3 linked regions of the Oryzias latipes genome follow. The protein of the gene in region 3 purifies or fractionates together with the protein of the main gene of each other region. This does not show direct contact. Links are inferred from orthologs where the notes say so. Each region holds a gene or a part of one and is shown on either strand. Other genes may lie near its edges. The genes, in order: nucleosome-remodeling factor subunit BPTF, c14h17orf49 and hmgxb4.

Region 1 (4,381 bases), about 360 kb from region 3:
GGTGTTGTGTGTCAGGGCGGTGCTGGGTATCAGGGTGGTGTTGTGTGTCAGGGCGGTGCTGGGTATTAGGGTGGTGTTGTGTGTCAGGGGGGTGCTGGGTATCAGGGTGGTGTTGTGTGTCAGGGCGGTGCTGGGTATCAGGGTGGTGTTGTGTGTCAGGGCGGTGCTGGGTATTAGGGTGGTGTTGTGTGTCAGGGCGGTGCTGGGTATTAGGGTGGTGTTGTGTGTCAGGGCGGTGCTGGGTATTAGGGTGGTGTTGTGTGTCAGGGCGGTGTTGGGTATTAGGGTGGTGTTGTGTGTCAGAGCAGGGATGTGGGTACTGGTTTGGTTCTGTGGGGGCTGTGAGACCACGACTTGTCTAGGAGTCACACTCAGGCTTGAGGGAGGCTGGATTGAAACCGATGGAGAGGGGGAGGTTAAATACTGCGCTCCAACCAAACCCAGTGACTGGGTAGGGACAGGTGATGGTGCAGTGGCAGGGATCTGTGTTTGTAGGGCAGTTTGAGCCACAGCCTGGGGCAGAGCAGGTGAAGTAGCAACCACTGGGGTTTGAACAGAGGCAGAAACTGGGCTGTGGGCGGAGCTTAAAATTTGTGATGGGCTTGACATGTGTGTAGGAGCGGGCAGTGGTGCCGTCATTTGTGTTTGGGCCATGGAGGATGGAGTTGTGTGGACCTGTGCTTGGACTTGGGTGGGTATCTGGGTCTGGGCGGGGACAGGTTTTGCAGGAGCAGCAGTTGGGGAAGGGGCAGCAGAGGAGGACGGGGGCATAGGCGTGAAGAGGAAGCGCTGCACCTGACCATTGGGCATGGCGGCCTGCATTAACTGCTGACCAGGACCGGGGATGACAGTAACGCCCTGTGGGATGATTTGAAGCTGCCCCTGGGTTTGACCTTGACCTTGGATCACCACCGTTAGTCCTGGGTTTCCTCCCTGCATAGTTTTAGACAAAACCCATCTTCAGCCTCATAAACGACAACATTCAAGGTTAAATGAAAAAGGGGTTGTCCTTTACCTGTGCCCCCTGTGTCAGCTGCATAAGCTGAGCCATCGTCAGCTTGACTTGACCCTGCTGGGGTTTTTGGGCCGGAGCAGCAAAGTTCTGTCCTGCAGGGGCAGGAGATGCTGCTGCAGAACCTGTGACGGCTGGTTGATGATTACGTTTCATCTGGGTCAAAGCCTGCTGAGGTGAAGCTGCACCAAGAGTTTACATTTGATTAGTTCTTTTTTTTAACATACAACACAAACAACATTAGTTTGCAGAAGTTGAAACCTTGTTGAGCTGCAGCTGAATTTCTCATGGTGGAGGTAGATGGAGAAACGGGCGCCGCTGTGCTTGTGGTCGTCAGGCCTCCCGTGGTGACGGTCTAAAAACAAAAGTTCAAACATTAGTGAGCGTCCTTTGGAGCTGCGTTTCATTAAAAGCAAAGCTGGTGGGGTGAGCGTCACTGCACCTGCTGCTGAGCGTTTGAGGACGGGGGCGCAGATCTGAGGTTGATGTTGCCCGTTGTAGGGTGTAGTGCGCTGTAGGTCCTAAGGTTTGCTGGAGGCCCAGATGGGAAAATACTGACAACTTTCTGCTGACCTGCACCTGTTGATGAGAGGAGAAAGATGGATGATGAGGACAGAGCAGCACCCTTTTGAAGTAAATGCCCTCAAAAAACAGCAGTTTTATTTTAGACCAGAAGTAATTCAATGAAACGTGTATGTTTGATTTTCGACAAGAATTCAAAGAAATATGGCTTTTTACTGAAAAACAAAAAGAGAGAAAAATGGTGAGAAATCCTGAGGTATTTATTGAGCGGCGGGCGCAGTACGATTCTCTAGAGGCAGCGTGTTTTCTGCAACTTTTTTTTCCTGCTTGCCCTGTCCAGCAGCAAACAGATGAGAGCTGCAGGCCTCTGTTACAATAGTGGGTTCAATAGCGGGTTATGAATCTTCTGACAAACGAGGTGTATATTTGTATAAACCCCTTTTGGATTTAAGACTAAACTTAGTAATGAGTAATTTGCACTGATTTCTTGTTAACTGGACGGGAAGGCAAAGAGAAAGACAGTGGGATGTTAGAGATAGAGGATAAAGGAAGTAGAGGATGAAAAGAGGCAACAAGTAGCTGGAGGTTTCTCATAATTACGATCAAATGTAGATGACAGTCAAAAGTAGGGGTCGACCAATTACCAGTACTGATTTATTTGTTTTTTTACTGACTTATTTATTTTTAAATGAACAAAGTTATTTGCTGGTGTTTGTTTTATTCTAAATTTTGATGCCAATATCAAAATTTGCACTTTCACTGCAAATGAATATCAGCACCAAATATTGGTTACTGATAATAATAATTAACGACCCTGACATTTTTTTAAAAACAACACCTCGATCAATCTCCAGGGGAGCCAGTTTAGCTCGTGCTGGTTTGCGGCGCCTTCCGTCCGTGAAACCCGGGTTCGACTCCGGGCTGCTCCCTGTTCCCTTCTCTACCTCTGCCGGTTCCAAGCCCGGTTTGAGAAGGTTGTGTCAGGAAGGGCATCCGGCGTAAAACATTGCCAAATTTACCATGCGACTCATTCGCTGTGGCGACCCCTGATGGGAGAAGCCGAAAGTGGAAGACCTCGATCAATCTCCACAGACACACTCAAATATTACAAACATACCTGTTGGCTCTAAAAAACCATCACACACATACATCAACATGTACACAATACAAATACAGCTTTCAAGCTCATGCTTGTGCAAACAAACACACACAGGTCAAGCATGTTTCATTCATGCTCGCATAATATTTGCGAAAAGTGAGCGGGCAAAGAGGCGAAAAGTTCAAATATTGGAACTTGCATCCTGTCAACCAATCAGGGACTCAGCTTTGGTCCATGACACGTTGATGATCAGCAGCTAAAGTCCAAAACCAACATGGAGACTTGGAAGCTGATTGTTGCTTTTTGTTCCCCTCCTAAACTTTATGATATTTTCTTATTTGGATCGAGACAATAACAAAAAAAGGTCCTCTGAATTTATGTTAATTTTTTCTCCTTCCTGTGACAGAAAGTCATCAACCTGGGTCACAGAGACATGGAAGCACCACTGAAAGCGCCGTCATTCAGACGCAGCTGCTGCAGTAGATGGTGAAGCTCGCCGTACCGCGAGAGTCTCTGAATGATCTCATGAACCCAGACGTGAAGACGTGGTGACCGATGCTTTTGTAGAGCTCTTCTAAATAAATAATCCTGGTCTCTCAATGTCATCCGCGTCTTTCACGTGCCAGCAAAACTATTGATAGTAGCTCCTCCCACACGCGGCAGGACACACTTTTGGAGGAGCAGGGAATCTGACGTGCGTCAACAGCTGTGGCGGATGCAGATTTGCTGCGTGAACCGCGCTCGGTGTGAAAGCAGCATCAAAACATCTTCATATCAGCAACATTTGGAAGGCATGAGCTCCAAGCACAACCGTTTCCTGCTCTCTGGAGTAGGAAACGGTCTTCCCAGCAGAGGGCAGCAGGAATGCCGGTCCGGAGCCGCTGCCAGCCGAAAGGAGCTGTGCCACGTACCATGAGGTCTGTGGTGTCCAATCCCAGGAGCTGGGATTTGGAAAATCTGATGGTTCACTGGAGTTCAGATGATTCCTCTCAGAGTGTTATTCAAAGAGGCTGTAAGCCCATTTGACCAACATTCTAATGTTAAAAAATGAAATGTAGTTTCCCTTTCGGCTTTTCCCATCAGGGGTCGCCACAGCGAACGAGTCGCATGGTAAACTTGGCAACGTTTTACGCCGGACGCCCTTCCTGACGCAACCTTCTCAAAGCAACTGGGCTTGGGACCGGCACAGAAGTAGAGAAGGGAACAGGGAGCAGCCCGGAGTCGAACCCTGGTTTCACGGACGGAAGGCGCCGCAAACCAGCACGAGCTAAACCGGCTCCCTAATGTTAAAAAATGAAATACTGGGGAAAAACTGAAAACTAAAATAAAACCGAGAAAGTAGTCAAAATAGACTTTAACTCCTGATAACCTCCTCCACCTCCTCCTCCTCCTCCTCCTTCTGCTGCTGCTGCTCACCAGAGCTGTTGGTGGTTTGACCCTGTTTAACCCAGGAAGCAAAGGACTGGTGGAAGTTCTTGTCCTGCTGGAAGGGAACTGTGGAGCCGAGCTTGGAGGCCAGCACCATTTTAGCTCCGGTGGGCGCCTGTCCTGCCCTCAGGGTCGTGGGGGTGCTGGCTGCAGTGGTGGTGATGGTGGTCGTGGTGGAAGTGGCAGCAGTCGTATTTAGTCTCTGCTGCTCGAGGCGTTTCTACAAACAGAAGACGTTGGTGCTGGTGGTCAGACGGGTGCGGATGTGGAAGCAGAGAAGGCAGGAGCCGCTCTGGCCGAACTCACCTGCTGAGCTGCCA
Region 2 (5,146 bases), on a different chromosome or scaffold from region 3:
GCTCTGCTATTTTTTGCTATTACTGCCCTGCAGGAGCCATGTCCTAGAAAAACATCACAGGTTTGTTGATTTTTTTCCCACTGGGAAGACGTTTACGATAGATCCAAACTGATGGCAGGAAGTCTTTAAAGCTTTTGCCTTTTATTTTGAAAGAGCATAAAACAAGGCAATATTTTAAAACCTGAAGGAGCAGAACCCTTTGGTTAAAACGTCTGGACATGAGCCTGCAGAGGACCTGCTGTGATTGTGTCCCACACAAGGAAATGAGCGTGTGAGCGGGCGGATCTTCATCTATAACTCCTCTTTATTCTTTATGATAACAGCGGTTCTCCAAACACAAACCCAGCAGCAAAGAAGACATCATTCTGCTGAAATCTAGAAACAAAAGCTCCAGCCGGCGTTCTTAAACCCAAAGTGTCCGCTCCACTCCGTGCTGGAGAAGATCGTGTCCTGCACGCCAGAAAACCAGAGTGCGTTTGTCATGATGTAAGCCTTGATCTCAGTGGGGGGGTGGGGGTCAGCGGGACAGGAGAGGCAGGTCGCCGGAGTTCATGATGAGGCTGGAGTCCAGGTTAAGACTTTCTGAGGAAACAAGAAACGATGGTCATTACAATGGTGTGAGACGGGTAACCAGCAGGGGGCGCCATTGGCCCGCTGCCTGACCCCACCAACCTTGGTCAAAGTTGAGCTTTTTGCTGGAAGAGCCGTCACCGAGTCCCTCGATGTCCACCAAGTCGCTGTTCACGTCCGAGTCATTCAGAGCGCTGAGCGTCACGTCTGCAGGAGCAACACAGCGGTCAGGAGGCGGGACGACGCCGTGCTCAGACCAGAGCTGCACCCGCCTCACGCCTACCTGCAGTCTTCTGTTTCTTGATGGGTGGGGCCAGAGGAGGGTTGTTCTGCATCCCCGTGGCTACAACAACCTGCGAGCTCGGCACGGTGATCATGGCTGGGGTGGCGGGCGCCATGGAAACCGCTGCTTTCTTGACGGTCTTCTTCGGGGATTCAGAGGAGATGGGGACTCGACTGTCCTCGTACAGCTTCCTCTTTACCGTGCTCTTGATCTGAGCGCTGTGGAGGAGCAGGACGAATGGCAGCTGTCAACCAATAAGAAGAGACTACAGACTAAATGAAGGCTTCTTTCAGATGTATGGAGATGTTTAGGACAGAAAGACTGAAGAAACCAAACAGGCGGAAAGGAGAACGACTGCTTCAGAGATACCTTCATCCCTAAAACTGTTCTCTTAGAGCGGAAAGGATCTGAAGGTCTAAGGTCTGGTTCTGAGCTTCGGTCCATCTGCAGCTCTTCTTCCTCTCTCTATGTTTGCTCAAGGCCATAAACCAACCTCCCTGCAGCTTTTCTGTCGTGTTCAGAAAGACTATCTAACCTGGATCCACTCTAAGTAACTGGCTGGAGGAACGAGAGGAGCTCTGATCTCAGGCAGGAACATAAATGTCTTTGTCTCCGTGATGAGGAAGAGTAGCTCTCAGTTCTGTCAGAATCTATCCCCCACCCCGCCCTGTCAGGCAGAATCTAGTTCTGAAAGCCCTGATGAAGGTCTTTGGTTCCTCCTGCTGCTGTGATCAGTGGGGTTCATGCAGACAGGGTTCAGCGTGAGTCTGGAGCAGGGTGCAGGTCTTCGTCCGGCCCGGTTCTGACTCTGACATGAGGCTCTGCTTAAGAATGCGACTGCTCTTTGACTTACACAGTGCGCTCTTTGATCACGGAGCTGATGTTGTTGAGGTCGTCTCCGAAGCGGCGCACCGCCAAGCGCAGCATATCAATCTCCGTCTCGGTCCATTTGGCTCTGAGGATGAAGACAGGTCAGTGACTGAGGACACGCTGAACCTCTGCTGATCAGTCTGAAGGCAGCAGGTCTGGATTTACAAGATCAGAGCAGGTCTGGGTCCATCTTTCAGGAGCTGGTCCTCCGATTCTCCTATTTCAAGAACAAAACAGTCCGGATTCCTCTTTCTCTCAAAGAGGTGAGGAAGAACAGCGCAGATTCCAAATGAAACTGTTTGGGGGCAGATCCACACTAGGTCTGGTCTGATCCAGAACAGGTTTTTTTTCTGATGCTCCAGATCATCCAGAGCTACAATTCTGGAACCATGCAGGATCTGCTTTCTGAAACCTTTCTGAAAACATTTTATACCAGAGAAGCTCAGACCCAAAACCAGATTAATCAGACCCAATCAGCCTGTGAGGCCCCGCCCTCGGGGGGCAGGTGAACTTCAGAACAAGCAGCACGAGCTAACCGGAGAACGGGCTAGAGGTCTCACCCTGCAGGGCTGGAGTCCGACACCGGGTGCAGCTGCATGGTAAGTTCCCCCAGCTTGGTGAAGGCCGCTCCAGCCGCCGAGAAGATCTCCCCCACCTGCAGACAAGAGCCGCTTTCATCAGGGTCCCCGGATTCTGGAGGCTTAGAGGTAGTTAGGTTTCCTCCTTTTACAAATGAAGGAGGATCCGTGCTTTTCTGAGTGAAAGCTGACAGGAGGAGGTCTTTCTGATGATACTGAACAACAACTGAAGGAAACTTTGAAGCTGAACTGTTGAACAAAAACAAAAAGACCTTAAATGGGTCTCTGTTCATTTCTATGGAGCATTAAACTGCTTCATATTTTCAAAACTATAAAACTGATCAAAACTAAAACCACAAACTGGATCAGTGGAGGTGTTCAGACTCGAAGAGGTGAAGAAATATTCAACGTTTTTATTTAATACAAATGTCATTCAGCCTCGCGCAGATGTCTTAACATTCCCGCTGCAACCTTAAAAACGCCTCATTTGCTTGCACGCGCATGCGCACGGAGCTGCAACCGCCATAAAGATAATACGAGTTTACGCGCACGAGACTCAGCTCACGCGGCTTACCTTAGCAGAGGCAGACGTCATTTATCCGGAGATGGTTGTGTTCTCAATCAAAACCACAACAATAAAAACAAAAACACGAAGAAACCCGTTAGCCACAATTAGCTTCTAATGTCGCGGCGGTGAACGGGCTTCCATGGAGGCTGCAGGATACTTTATCAAAACTGCGCAGACTCCGAAGAGGAAGATTTGTGTTTATATTTTGATATAAATTCTGAATATGTGGAAAAATCATCTAGCAGAAGAAACACACAACAAAGGTGGGCAGACAGGATGCGGAGGTTGATGTGCGATGACAACAATTGAGCGCCATTGGTCAATCTCAAAGGAAGAGGCGGGTCGGTAAAAGCCTGATTTGTGATTGGACGATGGATGGCTTCCGAAAACAGCCGAAGGATGACTAGTAAACCCGAACGGGGATGATCAGCTGACAGTGAGGCTACACTGCTCGTTCCTCATTCCTGGCTTCCTCAAAGCTTCGAACGGAGAAGAATACCCGATTCTGACATTCCCACCGACTCGCCAGCACGGTCATGCCGTCGCTTCTTTTCTGCGGGCCGAAGATGGCCGCGTGCGGGATCGTCATTAGCATCTGGGGGGTGATCATGCTGGTGAGTTAGCCTGACAGGAACACGACTGACTAATTCCTGGGTTATCGACGAGTCAACGATTAAGTCAATTTATTAAATAGACGATTTTACTTATTTCAGTTATTTAATAATAATAAAAAATATTTAAAAACGAGCACGAAAAAGAATCACGGCTAAAGACCAATAGCCAACACATAGGCAGGTAATAGACGGGTCCCACCAAGGCCACAGTGTAGTGTAGGCTCCAGCAGGTTAACGTGTAATGGAGATGATGCGTCTAATAACTGGATTCTTCATTTAAATGAACGAGAAGAGCATGGAAATTGGGAACAGGAGCGACTCTTTCGAGATCTGACTCACTATTTGATATTAACACATGTTCAATTGTTATTCTTTAGCTCTGTTATCTGGAGCTTTTACATTTTTTGGCCGAGATTTATGCTCTGAAGAGCATTTTATTGTTTCAGCACAGAAAATGTTAAACTGAGCAGATTATACATAAAATGTATTGACATGAAAAAAAAGAAGTATATCAGGAAAGTGGGGTTTTGTCAAGTACGGTAGTTTTTTTAATGTGCGTTTGGTTTTGTCGAGCAAACGTCCTCTGTTCCACTTCCCTACCGTGGATCACGTGACTAAAACTGGTGTCATGTGATGCGGCAGCGTGCAGAGGGGAAGGGGTTAAGACAAAAGGTCACAGATTTATGCAGCTAACACATTTATTTAAAGAAAAAGTCCAAAGATTCTGGTTTTAGACCTTAGATAAAGACAGTTCTGGTGAACGTCAACCTGCTGGAGAAGTAGACATTTGATTATCAGCTAAAGGTAAGAAGAAGCTGAAATAATTAAACAATGAGTTGTTTTACGTAGAAGTTTGTTGGAGAATGTTAAGACTACAAGAAAAAATATATATAGATATTTATTGTAAAAAGCTAAAATAAAATGCAAACTCGTCAGATTCATCAGCAGAGGCAGAATTGGATCAAGAATGTCCAAAAATGGTGGAGAAGCTCAGCTGTTTGGGGCAGAAACGGGTTCAAACCAACCTTCAAAGTTTGAAGTTAGAGAAAGCCCATAATCCTCTGAAGGTTTGATGTTAGGAACATCCCTGTTAGGAACATTTCTTTGTTGTCTCTGTTGCTGCAGTGTCTCACATTCTCCCCTCATGTCTGACAGGCTATGCTGGGCATCTTCTTCAGCACCAAGTCTGCCGTGCTGATTGAGGACGTCCCGTTCACTGAGGACGACATCTTTAAAGAGTGAGCGTCAGCAGGGCCCCACACAACCAGACCACGGGTTCTTGCACACACGGCAACATTTCACTGAGACAGGGACTGTTTATACCAAATATGTTGACAGTTTTCACCTGTTTTAAGGGCAGATTTGTTTTAAAAACTCCTTTACTGGAAAACAAAGATCAACCGGTAAATTGAGAGCTTTGCTTTTTGGCTCAGCTGTCTTTTCTCCACAACGGACCGATACAGCGACCACATAACTACGGACGCTGCTCCGATCCGCCTGTCAATCTCAAGCTCCGGTCTTCCCCTCACTCGTGAACAAGACCCCAAGATATTTAAACTCCTCTACCCGGGGCAGGGACACTCCACCCACCGAGAGATGGCAAGCTACCTTTCTCGGGTCGAGAACAATGGCCTCAGATTTAGCGGTGCTGACCCTCACTCAG
Region 3 (5,149 bases):
TTTATCCTTCTCATGCTTCTCTCTGTCTTTGTCATCTTTTTTCTTCTTCTTCTTCTCTGCTGTTGTGTTGTTGCCTTGGTGGTGGGGGGTGGTCACTTTGCTCATGGCGTACATTGGACCGACAGCGCTGTGGCTCACAGTGGGATGGGAGTGACTGTGGCTTCTTGAGGAGTCTGAAAGAAATTGTTCAACAAGAGAACAGTTCAGCAAAGCTCTGCCGTTGTCATTTCAAGGAGACGTGGGAACTTTAGGGACCGACAAACGCGCAGTTCAATCTGACGGCGGTGTTTCTGGAAATCACAGAAGAAGCCTGGAGTCTTGATGTTAGCTTAACCACAAAAATACCACAATGGATGTATTTTAAGTTGCTAACTTTGGAGAGTTAAAGTAGCTGCATTTCCGTTACACACATGCATACACAGAACTTTAGAAGTGTCGGAAAAAAAAACAATATAGCAATTACAATAAACCGTAAATGTGAATAAACACAAATCAACTCACGCAATAAATCCTTCCAGAACATTGGAACAGATGTGAACAATACTTTGGTTTACAGCAGATACGTTCAAATTTCTGCCACTAAGGCTCATCATCATCTATCAAAGGCGACGTTGGAGTCTTCTTCAGGTCATGGAGCGCTGAGTTCCTTTATGGCAGCCAAGACTTTGAAGTAAAATCTAGTGGAGAATTTTCCATAAGAGCCATCCAACTGTGAAACGCCTCAGGCCGAGCACAGCTAACATGAAGACACGTGTAGCCATGGCACTCATGCACTGACAAAAGACCCCCCCTCTATGAATAGATGGCTGCCCTAAATACGAAAAGGCACCAACAAAAGAAGAAAAAACATGTTCCTGTTTCTGACTATGCGTTGAACTGCAGCTGTTGAACTGCAGCTGCTGACTTGGGAAGGTAATTGTGATTGGTGTAAAGATGAGGCCATAAATGCTCTCATTTTTGCTTCCGGGTTAGTGGTTTAAAGTCACAACTGTTTTTTTCAAAATAGACTTGAGGGATGCAATAAGTTTCTTCAAACGTTTAAAAACTTGACATTAGACAAACATTTTAAACATAACCTAAAACCTAAATATATGTAAATATATATTTTTTTAAAAATATAACCAGTGCCCTATGATAAGATTTACTATATTTTTCTCTATAAATCATACATACAGAAGATATTAAGATGATTTCACCAAAAAAACATTGCATAATACTTGATAGAACATAGGAGTTGCTGATCTGTGCATAAACTCACCTCCAAATCCTTTGCTGTGCTTCTTTTCTTTTCCGCTTTTCTCCTGTCTGTCCTTTTCTTTGTCCTTTTTCTTCTTGCTTTTTTTGCTCTTCTTCTTCTTTTTAGACATGTGCGAGTACGAATCATCTATAACCAGCTCGCCAGCCTCCAGCTCTCCCCCAGACGAAGAGCTGTCATCCCCCATGCCCCCTCCGTAGTGACCTGTGCGAGACAGAAACCCAAATTGATTTGCAATCACGCCAAAAGCCACCGGAGGAGCCGCCTTCATTCCACGTACCTTCCACCTCCACCTCTTTCCCCACAATAGGGAGAGGCTCTTTACTCTGCTGCAGCTTCTTCTTGGGGGACTTTGACGTCTGCCCTCTTTCCTTGTCCTTTTCTTTGCGCCCTCCACTTTTGGATGAGTGCGACACAAACGGGAAGCCCTCCGGTTCCTCCTTCTCTGGAGACATGATCAGCTTCATTTTCAGCCCGTCAGCCTCACGTAAAGTCAAAGGCTCTTCTTTGGGAACTCCGCCATGAAAGAGAGACGACTTTGAAGATGATGACGAGTGCTTCTTGGAGGAAGAGGACACGGACTTGGAGTGTGAGAAGGAGTGGCTTCCTTTGATGCTCCCGCTGCTCCCGCTCTCACGCTTCCGCTCTTTGGAGGAGTGCGAGGAGAAGGGCGGGTAGGAGGGTTTCTTGTGCAAATGAGGACTGGGGTCTGAGCCTGTGGCAAGGGGAGAGGTAATGGCCTGAAGGAGGCCCATCGCTGTATCTGTCGAATGTGACGATGACGGGGAATGAAGAGGTGGAGAGCGTTCTGCAGACTTGTGCTTTTTCTTATGAAGAGGTGGAGCTGAGCCCTCGTGGTCTGAGAAGAAAACAAATACCGTTTTTTTTTCCTTATTGCCCGCCATCGACTCATGACTTTCCAGCTGTACAACCCCTCACCCCTGTAATAGTAGTCATCACTATGCCTTTTCTTCTTTTTGTGCGAGTCCCCACCCAACATGAAAAGTTCTGAATCCTGTTATGCATCAAGAGAAAGTCCATTTAAGCCATCACGCTCTGCTTCAACATCATGTATTCAGGTAGAGACAACAAACTTACCTTCGGCCTTTTCTTGGATGTCTTTCGTACCTGGGCAGCGATTTCCTCTTCCTCTCGTAACAGATCCTTGTAGGACCTCCTCTTCTCCCTCTGGCTTCGCCCGGCAATGAGTCCTCTGTCTCCCTCCATCCCCATTTCTGAAAGATTGAGTGAAGATCATTCCTATTTGGGTCCATTTCTATTTTTAAAAATGGCTATCTAAATAAATTAGTTTAATTTCTCACTTGAAAAAATAATAGAATTTTTTTTGTTTTTGCTTTTTAAAATATGTGACAGTGCAGAAGTGTAATGAGGAATGACTTTACTTTGCTCCCTTACCTTTTATTTCCTCATATGACATGGTTTCTTCTTTATGATCACCTGTCCTGGGATGTCTTGGTCAACATTAACAGCAGGTTCTCACCTGTAAGACAATCACGTGACAGATTATGTGAAAAACACCTCAACGTTTAGCTAAACAATTGCCAAAAGACAGTTTGTCTTTGATATACAGGCTGCTGTAGTGTATCAGGGGGGAAAAAAATCGAATTTTACAGTTTTTTTTTCTCTCTCAAAATATAATCTCTTTAATATGTGCATGGCGGCTCCCTTGACGGATTTCCCCACAAGAAAGCTGGTTAAGTCGCCATGGTGTAACCAAAAAGAGTATACAAGCAGCAATCCAAGAAAAACGACAAAATAATAAGCTAAGTTGTAACTGCTAGTTAATCAATTTGTAACAAACGAGTATAAATATTCAAAAATGAACTTCCCGCCTTCTACCGCAAGCATACACAAACACACCCCCTTTCTTTACACTTTGGCAGCTCAATGTCTCCCATGTGCCCGGCTGGAAAAATACGTGCCACCGACTTTACGTGCAGCTGACAGGCAAAACAGCTAAGGAAAGTCCGAGGCTTTGACTACTATGTAGGCCGAGGTTGGCTCAAGTAGAAAAAAAGCAGCGACTGACTTGAAGTCTGAATTGTTTATATGTCCACCGGCTCTATATTGTTTGTATGTATCGTTTTAATTGACCAGACGCAGACAGTAATGTGTTTATTCAGTTTTACTACCTCAATGGGATCGTCAATTTACGCGGGTCCGTCCGCCATCTTTGTTATCAGTAAGCAACAATACGTATCTGAAGGGGCGGAGCTTCGACCATTCGTCCAATTTGTGTGGAGGAGCCATCGACTGTAAAAACATGGGCGGGGCACCAGCAAGACATGAATGATTACTCCTACTTTATTACTATGTTCATAAAAAAATTTATACATTTTTTAATTCTTTTAAACATTTGATTAAAAAACAACAAACAATTGATTGACTTTTTTAAAAATACATTTATTTGACATACACGGACCAACACAAGCAGCATCAACGATAATTTGGCACTAATAGAACTAAAGCTATTTATTCGTTCACAATAATTTCAAATAACAGCAAAATTCATATTACTTTACAACAGAATCCACATACAAACAAGCACATTAAAAAGAAAACAAAAAAGACATTTTATAATATATCAAAACTTAAAAATCCTTAGAAAACTTTTCAATAATTATTTCCCAAATTAATCCAGAACTTTACAATTAAAGGCAAGAAAAAACAGGATTTATGAGAAAACATTCAATACTATTCTCATGCAAACATGTAAGGGCGTATTAATGTTCTGTGAGCTCCACTTCCATTGTTGCTCTTTAACAGAACATCTGCATTCAAAACAAAAGTCAACAAACAAAGCACTTTTTCCTAATACCTTTAGATTTGAAGCCAAATATTTTAACAAAAAAAGCAAATGTGGTACCAAGCACAGCAGATTTCTATAAATGGTGGCTTAACTTCATTAGAGGTGTAGAACACAGCAGGGCTTGAGGTTTGTGTTTGAGACCGATCCTTTTAGCATTAAACTTCAATTCTTGCCTGAAGACAATTTTTTTAAGGACCTGAGAAGGCCATCCTCCTCTACCTGTCACCGAAATTCTGTTTTTGGAGACTGAGGGATGTAAAGCTAGCCAGCAAATCAGTTACTTCATCCACCTGAAAGAAATAAAAGGTATAGTATAATGGATGGAACCAAATATATTTACCATATATTCACTATATATTCACTCTGAACAAACCCACCGACTGTCCAAAACTAAGGTTTAATGGGTGTTTATCATAAAATTACCAACCATCAGCTCCAACACCGTATAACTGTCAAGCATTATAGCAGAAGGATGATGGCTTGGGCCTTATTTGCAGAATAATTCTTTACACTTGACCACAAACTTCTTTGTCAACAATATTCTAGAGCACATGTATCAAAGTCATCCAAACCATCAAGATATTATATCTAGCCTGCAAGATAATTTTAAACTATTGATCATAATGGCCCAGCAATATCCCACGCAGGGATATATATTAAGGAGACTAAGGGATCAGTTATTATGACCTCTGACATTATTTTTTTGGACTATACCACATTGTACATCACAAGGGGGTCAGTCATCACCCTCTCCCTCCCCCTCATTCATGGTGCAGAAATAAATAAACATAACAGGATAAAATAACTAAGGGCAAAACAGAGTAAAACGACAGTGGCTCAGGCGGATGAGCGGGTCGTCCAATGACGGGAGTGAATGAATAATGGACACAATGTAAGCGCTTTGAGTGTCTTGAAAAGCGCAGATAAATTCAATCCATTATTATTATTATTATTATAAAACAGCCAGATGACAAAACATATAGACAAAGACCCACACTTTGCAGACAGCCAAAGGGAATGGTATCCCACAATTCCCCAAATTCCTTGCGCTGCCAGATCTGACA

What was found.
Region 1: the proteins of hmgxb4 (region 3) and nucleosome-remodeling factor subunit BPTF fractionate together in Homo sapiens (co-fractionation; 3 studies listed by BioGRID, with this or other methods). This does not show direct contact. The link is inferred for Oryzias latipes from reciprocal best matches to the Homo sapiens genes HMGXB4 and BPTF.
Region 2: the proteins of hmgxb4 (region 3) and c14h17orf49 purify together in Homo sapiens (affinity purification with mass spectrometry; 4 studies listed by BioGRID and IntAct, with this or other methods). This does not show direct contact. The link is inferred for Oryzias latipes from reciprocal best matches to the Homo sapiens genes HMGXB4 and BACC1.

Annotation. Positions count from the first base shown.
Region 1 is NC_019866.2:20,704,304-20,708,684, forward strand, and holds part of nucleosome-remodeling factor subunit BPTF, read right to left. Parts: coding exon 4,368-4,381; intron 4,282-4,367; coding exon 4,050-4,281; intron 1,592-4,049; coding exon 1,455-1,591; intron 1,368-1,454; coding exon 1,274-1,367; intron 1,195-1,273; coding exon 1,016-1,194; intron 934-1,015; coding exon 1-933. UniProt on the Homo sapiens protein: Regulatory subunit of the ATP-dependent NURF-1 and NURF-5 ISWI chromatin remodeling complexes, which form ordered nucleosome arrays on chromatin and facilitate access to DNA during DNA-templated processes such as DNA replication, transcription, and repair.
Region 2 is NC_019872.2:23,756,033-23,761,178, forward strand, and holds c14h17orf49 (chromatin complexes subunit BAP18), read right to left. Parts: upstream 3,203-5,146; 5' UTR 2,897-3,202; coding exon 2,876-2,896; intron 2,379-2,875; coding exon 2,284-2,378; intron 1,809-2,283; coding exon 1,707-1,808; intron 1,072-1,706; coding exon 854-1,071; intron 778-853; coding exon 673-777; intron 583-672; coding exon 518-582; 3' UTR 285-517; downstream 1-284. Other genes in the region: rnasek (ribonuclease kappa), read left to right, coding at 3,406-3,483, 4,639-4,721. UniProt on the Homo sapiens protein: Component of chromatin complexes such as the MLL1/MLL and NURF complexes.
Region 3 is NC_019866.2:21,061,894-21,067,042, reverse strand, and holds the start of hmgxb4 (HMG domain-containing protein 4), read right to left. Parts: upstream 3,492-5,149; 5' UTR 3,409-3,491; intron 2,757-3,408; 5' UTR 2,694-2,756; coding exon 2,672-2,693; intron 2,491-2,671; coding exon 2,354-2,490; intron 2,271-2,353; coding exon 2,195-2,270; intron 2,115-2,194; coding exon 1,536-2,114; intron 1,460-1,535; coding exon 1,259-1,459; intron 174-1,258; coding exon 1-173. Other genes in the region: ankrd54 (ankyrin repeat domain-containing protein 54), read right to left, coding at 4,301-4,375. UniProt on the Homo sapiens protein: Negatively regulates Wnt/beta-catenin signaling during development.